Oryzias latipes: one gene and its partner. The protein of the gene in region 2 interacts with the protein of the main gene of each other region in a pairwise test. Links are inferred from orthologs where the notes say so. Each region holds a gene or a part of one and is shown on either strand. Other genes may lie near its edges.

What was found.
Region 1: the proteins of apip (region 2) and pdzd4 interact in a two-hybrid assay, tested with the Homo sapiens proteins (2 studies listed by BioGRID and IntAct). The two-hybrid records come from large-scale screens. The link is inferred for Oryzias latipes from reciprocal best matches to the Homo sapiens genes APIP and PDZD4.

What each region holds. Positions count from the first base shown.
Region 1 is NC_019865.2:21,182,490-21,188,276, reverse strand, and holds the start of pdzd4 (PDZ domain-containing protein 4), read right to left. Parts: upstream 3,601-5,787; 5' UTR 1,480-3,600; coding exon 1,420-1,479; intron 1-1,419.
Region 2 is NC_019861.2:8,212,009-8,217,668, forward strand, and holds the start of apip (methylthioribulose-1-phosphate dehydratase), read left to right. Parts: upstream 1-2,151; 5' UTR 2,152-2,277; intron 2,278-3,191; 5' UTR 3,192-3,194; coding exon 3,195-3,260; intron 3,261-5,660. UniProt on the Homo sapiens protein: Catalyzes the dehydration of methylthioribulose-1-phosphate (MTRu-1-P) into 2,3-diketo-5-methylthiopentyl-1-phosphate (DK-MTP-1-P).

The DNA.
Region 1 (5,787 bases), on a different chromosome or scaffold from region 2:
GAGTCATTATGTATTATTGCACGCTTGCGCCAGCGGCTCCTTTCTCGGTTTTGCTCTGCTGTTGGCATTTGCTCCTCGGCTTCCAGGGGCAGGTGCGGTTTCGTATGTACAAGACCAAATGAGATTGTAGTCTCTGTTTACAAATCATGACAGCACAATGCAGCTTCCTAGACCTCCACAAGACATTCTTCCTAATCATTACACAGCTTTCCCGGCTGCCACACCGCTCACAAACACACCTGGTAACTGAGTGCATGGGACTGTCAAAGCAGAATATGACAGACTTGACACATAAACCTTTACAGAGGTCTGACCTCAGCCCTGGTTTCTATTACAGATGACTCCAGGTTTGTGCTCTTTTTACTGTTAGATATGATCACAAACATAAACATTTTACATGCTCACTCTTACTACAAGAAGTGTACTCAAATTTGAGAAAAATCAAACAAAACATTAAAATAGAAATCCTTGATTTCTGGTTCCATTTCCATAATTATGCTCCTTTTCTCCCCGCCATTTCCATATCTCTGATTGGACTTGGGCTCTTTTTGTTCTCCCCCTCTCTTGGCATCTCCTCTGGCACCAGATGCAGCTTGGTTAACTGACCCAGACTTGAACAGGCTGTGCAGACACAGCTGAGGCCCCTGGTGCCACAGATGCTGAAAGTGTTGCATTCGCAAGGCTGCTAAGCATTTTTAATGCTTACGAAGCACAGGGCTCGTTTTGGCTTCTATGTGCATCATCTAGTGCCCGGAAAGTGTCTTCTGTCCAGACCACACCGATATAAAGGCTTGCTAACATGTTGTCTATGGTCCCGGTTGGCAGGTGGTGCTGAGGCAGTAACCGTGGCAACCCTTCTCCACACTTAAACCCAGTTTAACAACCCATCCATCCTTTCTGTCTCTACAGCTCTGCACCACAAGTCCACTTTTGCTCTGATTGAATGTCATCAAAGCTACTGAGAAGCATCATTACAGTAGTTATCATTAAGGAGCCAATTAGTGCACAAAAGATGCATTCTTTGGCTACATGAGTGATATGATGTGGAATTTATATTTGTCTTTTTAATTGGTTAAATTTAATATTTGTCTCTTTGCATATTTTGCTTATGATAGTTGATTAAAATAATGTATAAATTAACTGATTCCATTTTTATTTACCCGATTTTATGTCATTTTTACAATGTCTGTTCACTTGATGTACAAAAACGTTTTTCTCAAACTTATTTAACAAATCAGCTGGTTGTTTTTTAAAGACTTTTTAATTCAAATAAAATTTAGACCAAATCAAAATTAATTTAATAGGAATAAAAGGTAAGTGTTTGTTCTGAGTTTCTGCTATGGCAAGAAATATTGACATTAGTGCCGTGAGAGAAAGGAGGGAGCAGAAAAAAGGAAAGAGAGGAGACAGAGTGCTCACCTGGAACATCACCCTGTATTGTTCCTCGGGTTTCTGAACCACACACATGTTGCACCCCATGGTAACTCCTGACGGGGTGCAGGACTGTGCAGGTCCAACCGCTAATGACCAGTTCTCAAGTAAGGATTCTTTGTCTGTGGCGGCGTGGGAGCCCCACCCTCATTCGCAGGCGTTGTGGTGTTCAAAGCGGGTCCTCTTTGAGGTATCATGCATCACATCCCGGGCAAATATGAGCCGGCTGCATCTCTGTTCCTTTGTCTGGTGTTGTGCTCACAAATGAAATGTTGCTAAACCTGCAATAAACTCACATTTGAAGTGTGATTTCTAAGAAAATCTCAGGAAAGGCCTAAAACAGAATGTCCTGCTACTTTGTGCTTTATTGATACATCAAAGCATCTGCTTCAGACAGCTCCATGCTTATCCGATTGACACGGAGAGGAGTTGCAAAGCTCATAAAGCTGCAGGATGCTTCACATTTAAAGACTGGAAAAGACTCCTGAACTCACATCTGTTTCTTCAGGACTTCCCTTTCTGTCAGCTTCTCTCTCAGCCCTTTTCTGTACGTTTGCCAAAGTGACACTAAGAAATTACTGAAAGCCCCGTCAGCACCCTCTCCTGCCTCATCTGTCATCTACCCCACATTCAATGCGTGTTCCAAGCTGTTTGTGATTGTAGCTGCAGCAAAACTTACTGTGTGCAGAGGACCGGTTCTACAGGGGCATGACACCGCCAGCCAAAACCGCTCAGACCTCTGCAGCTGAGATAACACCGCCAGAGGTGTCTCAGCAGGGGGCAACACAACTACAAGCTTTACATCACAAACACTCTCACTTGCAGCTCTGCAGAACTGCAGTAAGAGTAAAATTTCACAAAATTACAGAAAATTGAAATGCTACACAAAAAAACTGGAAGGAAGTTCATTCAGCAACTTCCTGTTGTCAGATACGATCACATGTTCAGACTATTGATCCGCAGACACAGCAAACTCACCGCTGGACTTCTCTGAGGGGAAACATGGTGGATTATGACCAAACTGATGACCCCAAGCTCTGATAAGACAGCACACTATTCAATTATAAACTTATAGATAAGTTGTGCCACATAGAGGATTCTTGTCCTTAAAAACATTTTCCCTTTCCTCAAAACTTTCAACGCCACGGTGAAGCTCTCCTCACAGCCTGAGTCTATTCATATAGAACCCAGTTTATTCCAAGCTAAATCTGTCACAGTTAACATGAACTGGAGGGAAACTGAGTCACCTGCTCGCCTTCTGTGTCTCATCTTGTCAGTTGAACCTTAATCTTTAATCCTCCAGAGCGCGGTCGGATAGCTTGAGAGTTTTTGGTCCATCGACAAGGTTTTGAAGCTAATCCTCATTCAAGGCTTCACTACACCTGCGTCCTGTCTGGAGGCTGCTAAGCCACCTACACAAACGCGCACACGCATTAAGACTGCATCCACCTAATGTGGAGAATGATAACTTGAGGAGAAAACAAGCTGCCTTGGAGATCATGCAGCCAATCATGCTGCAGTGAGGTGTCAGACCGGTCTCAGCAGGCAGGTGTGCTCCAACTGTCATCCCTTCTCTCCTTCTATGTTCACCCCTATCGCCTGTCAGCTCTACACATGCTTGCTGCAGTGTGAGCATTCGATGGTCCCCCCCATGCCTCAGCTGGTGGGGTATGTAGCTGTCCGGATGCGTTGAAAACACACGCGTAAAAGTTAGTCCATCTTCGGCTGGAGGCAGAAAAATAGAAAAGTGTGAGGAATGAGCATGTCCCGTTTTATTCCTCCCTTTGTCTCTCTTTCATGCTATGAACAAATATCCACAAAAGGGTGTTTCCATGTGAGGGAAGCAATGTAGACCATTGTGAGTATTCCAGGTGGCTGGACTGATGAGCAGCGCTTGTCTCAGGTCAGTGATGAATCCTCACCAGGAGCGGAGGCTGATTGGAGGATACTTCTTGCCTTCTCCCCTTGGGTATGACGGCAAAGTGCTCCCCCCTCTGCAGTGGAGGTGGTGGTGGTGGGGGGGGTGAGTGCACAAAAGGCAGTTGCATTGGAGCTCAGCAAATCTGCCCGCTGCACTACAACTAAATCTCACGCAGAAGGATTTCTCTCTTGCTGTGTTGTCTTTTTCCCTCCACCCTTTTTTTCTTTTCCTCATTCAGGGTTGGGCTACTGCATCCTCTCTAGTCCCCCCATCATTTTTACCCTCCCTCCTCTCTTTTGCCTCTCTCTGCTTGTCTGCAGGCAAGGGAGCAGGCACTAGAGAGGTCTGTGCATGCAGGACAAGGCGACATAACAAGCAGAGCTTCATAAAAGTGAATGAAATATCAAGGCTCTTTTTTCTGAGACAGCCTCATCCATCTTGTGTCATTTAAGTAATTCACTTTGTGCTTGTGATTTTTTATGAGATCCTTTGAGGACAAAAAAAAAGGATGATTGCAAATTTTCATAGCAAGAGGGGAAAAAAAACTGCCCACAGCAGGTAGAGCTCATGACTGGCTGTGCATTTAGATGAGGAGCTGCGCTAAAACAAGTATGATCGGGAAAGGAGCAGCAGGAGAAGAGGAGAAACAAGTGAATAACAGGTGTGACTAGATAGATGGAAAGATGCAGAAGAGAGCCAAGAGAAAAAATGCAAATGACTGTGTGGGAGAGCAGAGGAGGAGTGAGGATGGGGAGAAGAAAAAGACTTTTCTGCAGTAATCAAAATGACCCGCTGAGGTATAGAGGGTGCAAATCTGCCATATGGGGAGTATTCATTTTACATTTCTACCCAGACTGGCAGGTAATTGTTGGTAGAATCTTCTCTGCAGACACACTCAGAACATTAATTTTCCATTTAAACTTCCATTTCACTGGCACTCTCTCTGTGGTGCTGTTGCCAAACAGGGGGTGAAGTCTGAGGAGCATTTCGTCAGCATTCCTCTCCGTGCCGTATCAGTTTTCTGAAATAAAAATCAGTCGAGAATTTTGTGTCTTGGTTACGCATCTCAAGTGTTTGTCTCCCTCACACACACAAATCTTCCCTTGATGGCTTCTGCGAGCCACGGATGAAGCAGGATTTCACGGTGGCTATGTGAGGATCAACAAGGTTGCACGTCTTTCACCACCTCTCCCCATGTCGCCTCTGATACTGAATGCAGCTCACACAAGCAGGCCTCTAGGTTTTCTCAGTCCAACGCCTTTAGAGCACAAAAGGTCAGCCTGTCATCCTATTATAGTTGGGGCAGAGATGAGAAAAAAGCAGGGACTGTGGATATTGGACTCTCCTGTCCAACATTGGGATCTGTTTTTATCTTAAGACTCCCTCCAATCATACTTTGACTGTGCTGTTTTTAGCCAAAGTAAAAAAAAAAAACTAGTTTTCTAGAACGTAGTTTCTGCAGAGCAGCAGTAGTTCATTACCATTTGCCTGTGAGTTGTGGGCAGGACTGTTACCACAGAGAAAGCCTGTCCCCATTCCCCATTTCCCGTCATCTATCTGTTTGACACACTTTTCTGCTAGCTTACAGCCCCTCACAACTTTAACCCAACATTACCAGTGCATAAGATTGGAGCAAAGCAGGGAGCTTGTGGCTTGCTGTAATACGTAACACGTCACACCTACAAGCTTTTTCCAATTTTTCCATTTTCTCCTGATTCACAGCAGTTTAAATAAAGAAATACTCAGAAATGCTATTTTCATCTTAATTTTCTTTATATGTATCCTCTGTCATCAGAAAAATGCCACAAGAACGTGTTAAAAACCAAAAAAAAAACCTTTTCATCAGAGTGGATCTTTAAATGCCAGCGCAAGTCATTATGCATTTGTCTCTTTATGGATCTCCACCTGAGCAAAAAGGAGTGTGACCTGCAGGTCGGTGCTCTTTCATTTCCCGACTGAGCTCCACCTTTTTCCTAACATCGCTGTAGCTCTCCACCTTTCAACCCATCACGAGAAAAGATCACACACACACACACACACAAAATAAGAAAAAAAACTCCTTCTGCATCACTAAAATGCAAAACAGGACTTTTTCCAGCCAAAATGTAAATGAAAAATATTATGCATTCATGAGTAAATGGAAGGTGGCAAAGGGAGCCGTTGAGATTTGGCAGTGAAGTTTTTCAAGGGGCCTAAAATGGAAAAGGAGATTGGGGGTGGCTGGGAATAGTTTAAAGCAGGGAGAATAGAAAAATGTTAAAAACAAAAGGAAAAAAAGTGTTTGTTTCATTCCACCGAGACCTTCTCCGACTGTGGAGGAAAACAGGAGCCCAATGCCAGCAGAGCAACGCAATACTGGCAGAATTTAAACAGCGCGCTCATCATTTATTTACTGCTGTGGGGAGATTGTTAGTACATAATACACTGTGAGCAGA
Region 2 (5,660 bases):
TATAAATAATTTTGATAATTGTTTTTTTTTCCCCTCATACTTAGAGTTGGAATCATTTCTTCATATAAATAATTCTGATATAATGACATTCTTTGCAAAATTAATATTTTTTAATTTGTCACTAAAAAAACAATACGTCCGTCTTTCACTTCTCCATTAACAAAGGAGTTAAACAAGGCTGTCCCATCTCTCCTTTACTTTTCATCATAGCAGCTGAAATGTTATCCATTTCGATAAAACACTCAAAATTTTAAAAACGTAATGCTTTAGGCCAGCAAATAGCAATCACTCAGTTCGCTGACGACACAGCTATTTTTATGAAGGACAGCAGTCAGATTTCTGTGATCCTACAATTAATAAATTTTTTCTCCAGAGCTTCCGGTCTGAAACTCAATCTGAAAAAATGTGAATTATTGCCAATTAAATATTCCACTTTAACAACAATTCAAAACATTCCTGTTAAATCCCAAGTTATATGGGAATTCACCTAACCAAAGACTCCAAATCATTGGAGGATCTTAACTTTTGGAAAACTTTAGATAAATGTAAATTAAATCTAAATCTGTGGTCCCATCGAGATATTTCCATTCTTGGTAGAGTTTTTCTAGTAAAGATGGAATCTCTATCAAGATTAATCTACCCAGCATATTCTTAATCCTTCCCTAAATCTGCAATTAACGACATAAATCAAATTAATTTTAAGTTCATTTGGAAATACAAAACTCATTATATTAGAAAAGTGTGATGTTAAAGGATTATGAAGAGGGAGGACTTAAAGCTATTGATGTTGAATGTTTAGACGGAACGATTAAAATCCACTGGCTGAGATCTTTCTTAAAGAACGAAAAAGGTTTCTGGTTTCAATTCCCCTCTAAAATATTAAGGGATCTAGGTGGAATTAACTTTCTGCTTAAATGCAACTATGATCTAAAAAAAACTGCCAATCAAACTTTCTGCCTTTCATCAACAAATTTTATTGTACAGGAAACTAATTTATAAGCATAACTTTAGTCCGCACACCACGCCTTTCTGGAACTGCCGTTATGTGTTACGAAGAAACAAATCCTTGTTTTACAAAAACTGGCTGACTAAAGGGATATGTTCTGTTCTGCATCTACTGGATCATTCTGGAAATATTTTGACATTTGAAAATTTTAGTTCTGAATTTCAATTATTTGATAGGAAACAATATGATGCTGTGATTAAAGCTCTTCCTCGGTCGTTGATCCAATTATCACAAAATCTATTGTTAAACAAAGTTCCATTAAAACTTCCTTCACTCCTATTGGACGGACAGACGGTTACAAAGACAGAACTACCAAACAGCTTCATACGAAAATTGTTTGTGAAAGAACTCTTCCAAACATCTCATCAGAAAAAAAAAAAATCTAAACACTTCTCTAAAGAAGAGGTCATTGAATTAAGGTTGAATATCTTTAAATTTTGTATTTTACCAAGAGACATTCATTTTAAAATAATTAGTGATGTTTACCCATCCAAGGAATTTTTGAGACTTCGTTTTGGATTTGAGGAGAATGACTGCAGTTTTTGTTTAAAGGACATTGAGACGGTGGATCATTTATTCTTAATTGTGGAGTCATAAAAACATTCTGGGAAGAGTTCTGCTTTTGGTATTCTTCCAAAATTGCAATGACAGTTCATTTAGAGGCAAAAAATGTTTTATTCGGGGTGGTTTCACCTAATAGACCAGAAAATATGGTCCTTAATGTCCTGATAATTCAAGGAAAGTTTTATATTCACAAGAATAAATATTTGATGACCAAACCACTTTTTATTACATTTCATAAAGAGCTCTATTTTTGTTTTCAATCACTTCACTATATGAAAAAGAAGAATGGCTTGAAATTGCCTAGTTTTGTTCAAAAATACAAACTTAATGAGTACCCCTGACCAATATCAAACCTTTTGGATGGATTTATGTTATTTTATTTTTTATTTTACTTATTTATTTTAATTATTTGTGTGTGTTATGTTCATTCGTTTTTTCTACTTTTTATGTTTATATGTTATGTTTGGCAATGGTGATTGCTATTCTAGGTAATGTTGATTATATAGTTACTGTTCGTTATGTTATGTATGATACCTCAATTGTCAATAAAGTTTATAATTTTTTAAAAAAAACCTCTGTCTTTCACTTCCACTTCCGGTGGTGCTGCTACTTGTCGGTGTCGCTCATTAGTGACGTAACGCAATCTTCAGAACGAGCTGTGTTTACTTTTGTGTGTAACCCAGGGAAAATTCTGCGAAATATCTGAGGTAAGCAGCCACATGTTTTTATGGCCAGCAAACTGAAGAAAACAGTAACAAATGACGTCGTTGTTTTGTAACAGACGACACACAGGCATTAAATTTAAATAACACGTAACGTACTTACTTGGCAGCTGTTTTGCGTTTTATTTCCTTCAAGTTTTGTTTAAAATTTCAAAATGACTCAGTCCTTTCTTATATAATCATGTCGTAATTGAAAACCCTTTTTTTATTTACCACATGGATGGGTAGGACATAAAACTAAAGCACTGAAATGTGAATTCTGGGGGGAAAAGAAACACTACTGTTGAATTCTGACTGAGCCCTTATCTTCTTAACCTTTTTCTTTTTATTAGTGGAGAAAGGGTGAATTTGACTCCAGGGGCTTTTACTTTTTGCAGACAAAACTAAACACTGACTGGACTTTACCTGCTAAAGTTTTAAGACAGAAGTCCTAAAGGAGCTAATCTTGGTGGAAAGGAATATTTAAAAAATAAAGTCAGTAAGTCCATCTGTGCTGTTATAATGGCCGTAAAAATCTGTTATTTAAACTGAGTTTGTTTAAATAACTAATAATATGTATAGTAAGTATAGTGTCATTTAAAAAAACTGGAATATTTCTCTTAACATTTCAACTTATTGACACTTTTGAACTCACTGCATACTTAAATTTGGGGAGTATTTTGATGGGGATTCCTAATTTCCCACATTCGGAGGAAAACTCCTTTAACCGTCAACAGTTCTTGAGAAGTTTAGCTCAAAAACAGTTGTCTTACTTTTGCGATGATTGGAAAATGTAGGGAATTCCCCTTTTATACAAGCGCTCTCATTTAGTGGACATGAAACAGTCATGTTAGTGCCACCCCCATCCAGGTGTCAGTTAGGAAATAATCAATTGTCAAAACTGGTCTGTTTCATGGCAGGAGATGTCAGCTCTGTGTGACCCTAGCAACGGCTGCCAAGATGCAGGACAAGCAGCTTCAGAGAAAGAGGCAAGTATGACATCATGTAGAAACTTTGGTGAATGTTTGGTTAAATCTGTTTAAATGGAAAATCTTCAGAATACAATCAGCACTCTGTGTGCACTCCCCAACCAGGTGGATGAGATTTTGGTTTCTGCACATTGCTTCAGACTGACAGGGTTAAGCTCGTCCTTGGATTCATGCGTTCACAGCGGGCATGTGTCGTACATTTAAGAACATGCTGAACGAGGGGTTCTTGAACGCTTTTACACTCAACTGTCACTACCCGATACTATCGCATGCATCTACAGTTGGACGAGGCTTGGTGCGAAATGTCAAAGTAGTGCAAATGTCACAACCATTGACTGTAAAAACAATGGACACCTCCCTTCTCGTGTTCCCAAATAGGAAGTACCATTGCTTCCTGATGCGGGCGCCGCCACGTTGAAACGTATCAGGAAGGGAGGAGAGCTATGGGTGACATCATACCTCGATTCGTCTGTTGTTTTTACAGTCGATGGTCTCAACTCTTGCTCCAGGCTTTTTCTTTCACAGCTCTATTCTGACATATTATGACAGATTTGGTGTTGTATAATGCCGTCTAAGCACAGACCTCAACTATTCATTTATCCTCCATGATCAATTTTCAAAGGGTTGGCATTTCAGTGAGTGAAAAAAGGACGCTACCCATATGTGGCTCCCAAATCCGACACTCTGATTGGTCAAACATTTAACGCGTGTTCAATGGCTGCACGCTTTATTTAAAGAGCCCGAAAACAGACTTAAAATCTTGCATGGCGATGCGTTAACGTGAGAGTTTTGAACGCGGAAGCCCGAAACATGCATATGTACCGTACATAGACTTTTTATTTGAAATGGTTGCTTCAACGCGCGTTGCTAAGGCCGGTGTGATCGTAGCATAAAAGAAAAACACAAATCACTGAAACTGTATGAAGATTTTAAAACATAAGTCATAAAGTCTGAAAATAGATCAAAAAAATAACAGTCATTTACAGAGACTGTAGCAGTTCATGCTAATTGTTTGAGAATTTGTCACCTCAGATTAACCAACCCATATGAAAGTGGTAACAAAGTGGTTATAAAATTATTTGTGAACATCAGACCTTTTAATAATGTTTAGTTTTTTGTTTGTTTTTTTCTGACAGATTTGGTCTTCATAACCCTTAGCAAAAAGTAGTACACTTGCCGTATCTTTGAGTAAAGCAAGTCTACTATAACCTTGTCCATGAAGTATAGGAAGCATACTAACTAAATACTTTTAAGACCACATTTGAACATTTTTTGGCAACTTGAAGTATTTAGGCTGCAAGGGGGATACTTTGGTGCAGCGGTAGGGCAGTCGAAGAAGATCTGAAGATTGCGGGTTCGATTCTTACCTTGATGTGTCTTTGTGCAAGACACGGAACCCCACATTGCCACTGGTGAAAGGTTGCCGCCATTGTCCATCAGTGTGTGAATGGGACTGTGACTGTAAAGCACCTTGGGCCTTCATGTTGTTGACCAATCGGATGACCCGCCTCCTTGCCGCACCTCTTATGTAGACTAGGATCATTTGGAGTGTAATTTAAGTTATTAGATGACTTTATTAATCCCACAATGGGGAAATTCATTTATCTGTGGCAGCTGCGAAAGTGTAAAAAACATGTGATCCACTGCAAACATGTGATCAACTGTCAAAAACACGTAAAACTTTTTTTCTTTTTCTTTTCTTTTTCTTTTTAAATACAAAAATAAGTAAGTAATAAAGTACACACCAAAACAAACAACCGTTCAGGAACAAAAACTATTGAAAACTGCAACAACTGTAACAAAAGTAAATGAATAAATGAGTAAAAGAAAGAAAAAACACCCCTGGGTTCGTGGAGTGTCACTTTGACACGGTGTTGTACAGTCTGATGGCTGTGGGGAGGCATGACCTGCGGTAGCGCTCCTTCTTGCACTGTGGGTGCAACAGTCTTGTGCTGAAGCGCCTCTACAGTTTGGTGCAGGGGGTGGGAGGGGTTATCCATGATGGATGTCAGCTTAGCCAACATTCTCCTGTCCGCCACCTCCTCCGTGGACTCTAGTGTGCAACCCAGGACAGAGCCGGCCTTCCTAACCACTTTGTTAAGCCTCTTCATGTCTCTGCCTGCACTGCCCCCCGCCCAGCACACAACTCCATCAAGGACCACTGAGGTGTTGTTGACTGGTTATGTTGACTCTTATTTAAAGTGAAATAGAAATGATGTTTTTGTTTTTTTTGCTATTTGTGCATGTATCGCAGGTTATATCGTGATCACAGTATTGATCACTAATATCACAAATTGCGAGTTTTCCTTATATCGTCCGGCCCTAATTGTAGTTTACTTAAATCGACTACTTTTTGCTAAGGGAAGCTATATAGTCAATTTTACACGATACCTAATGAGC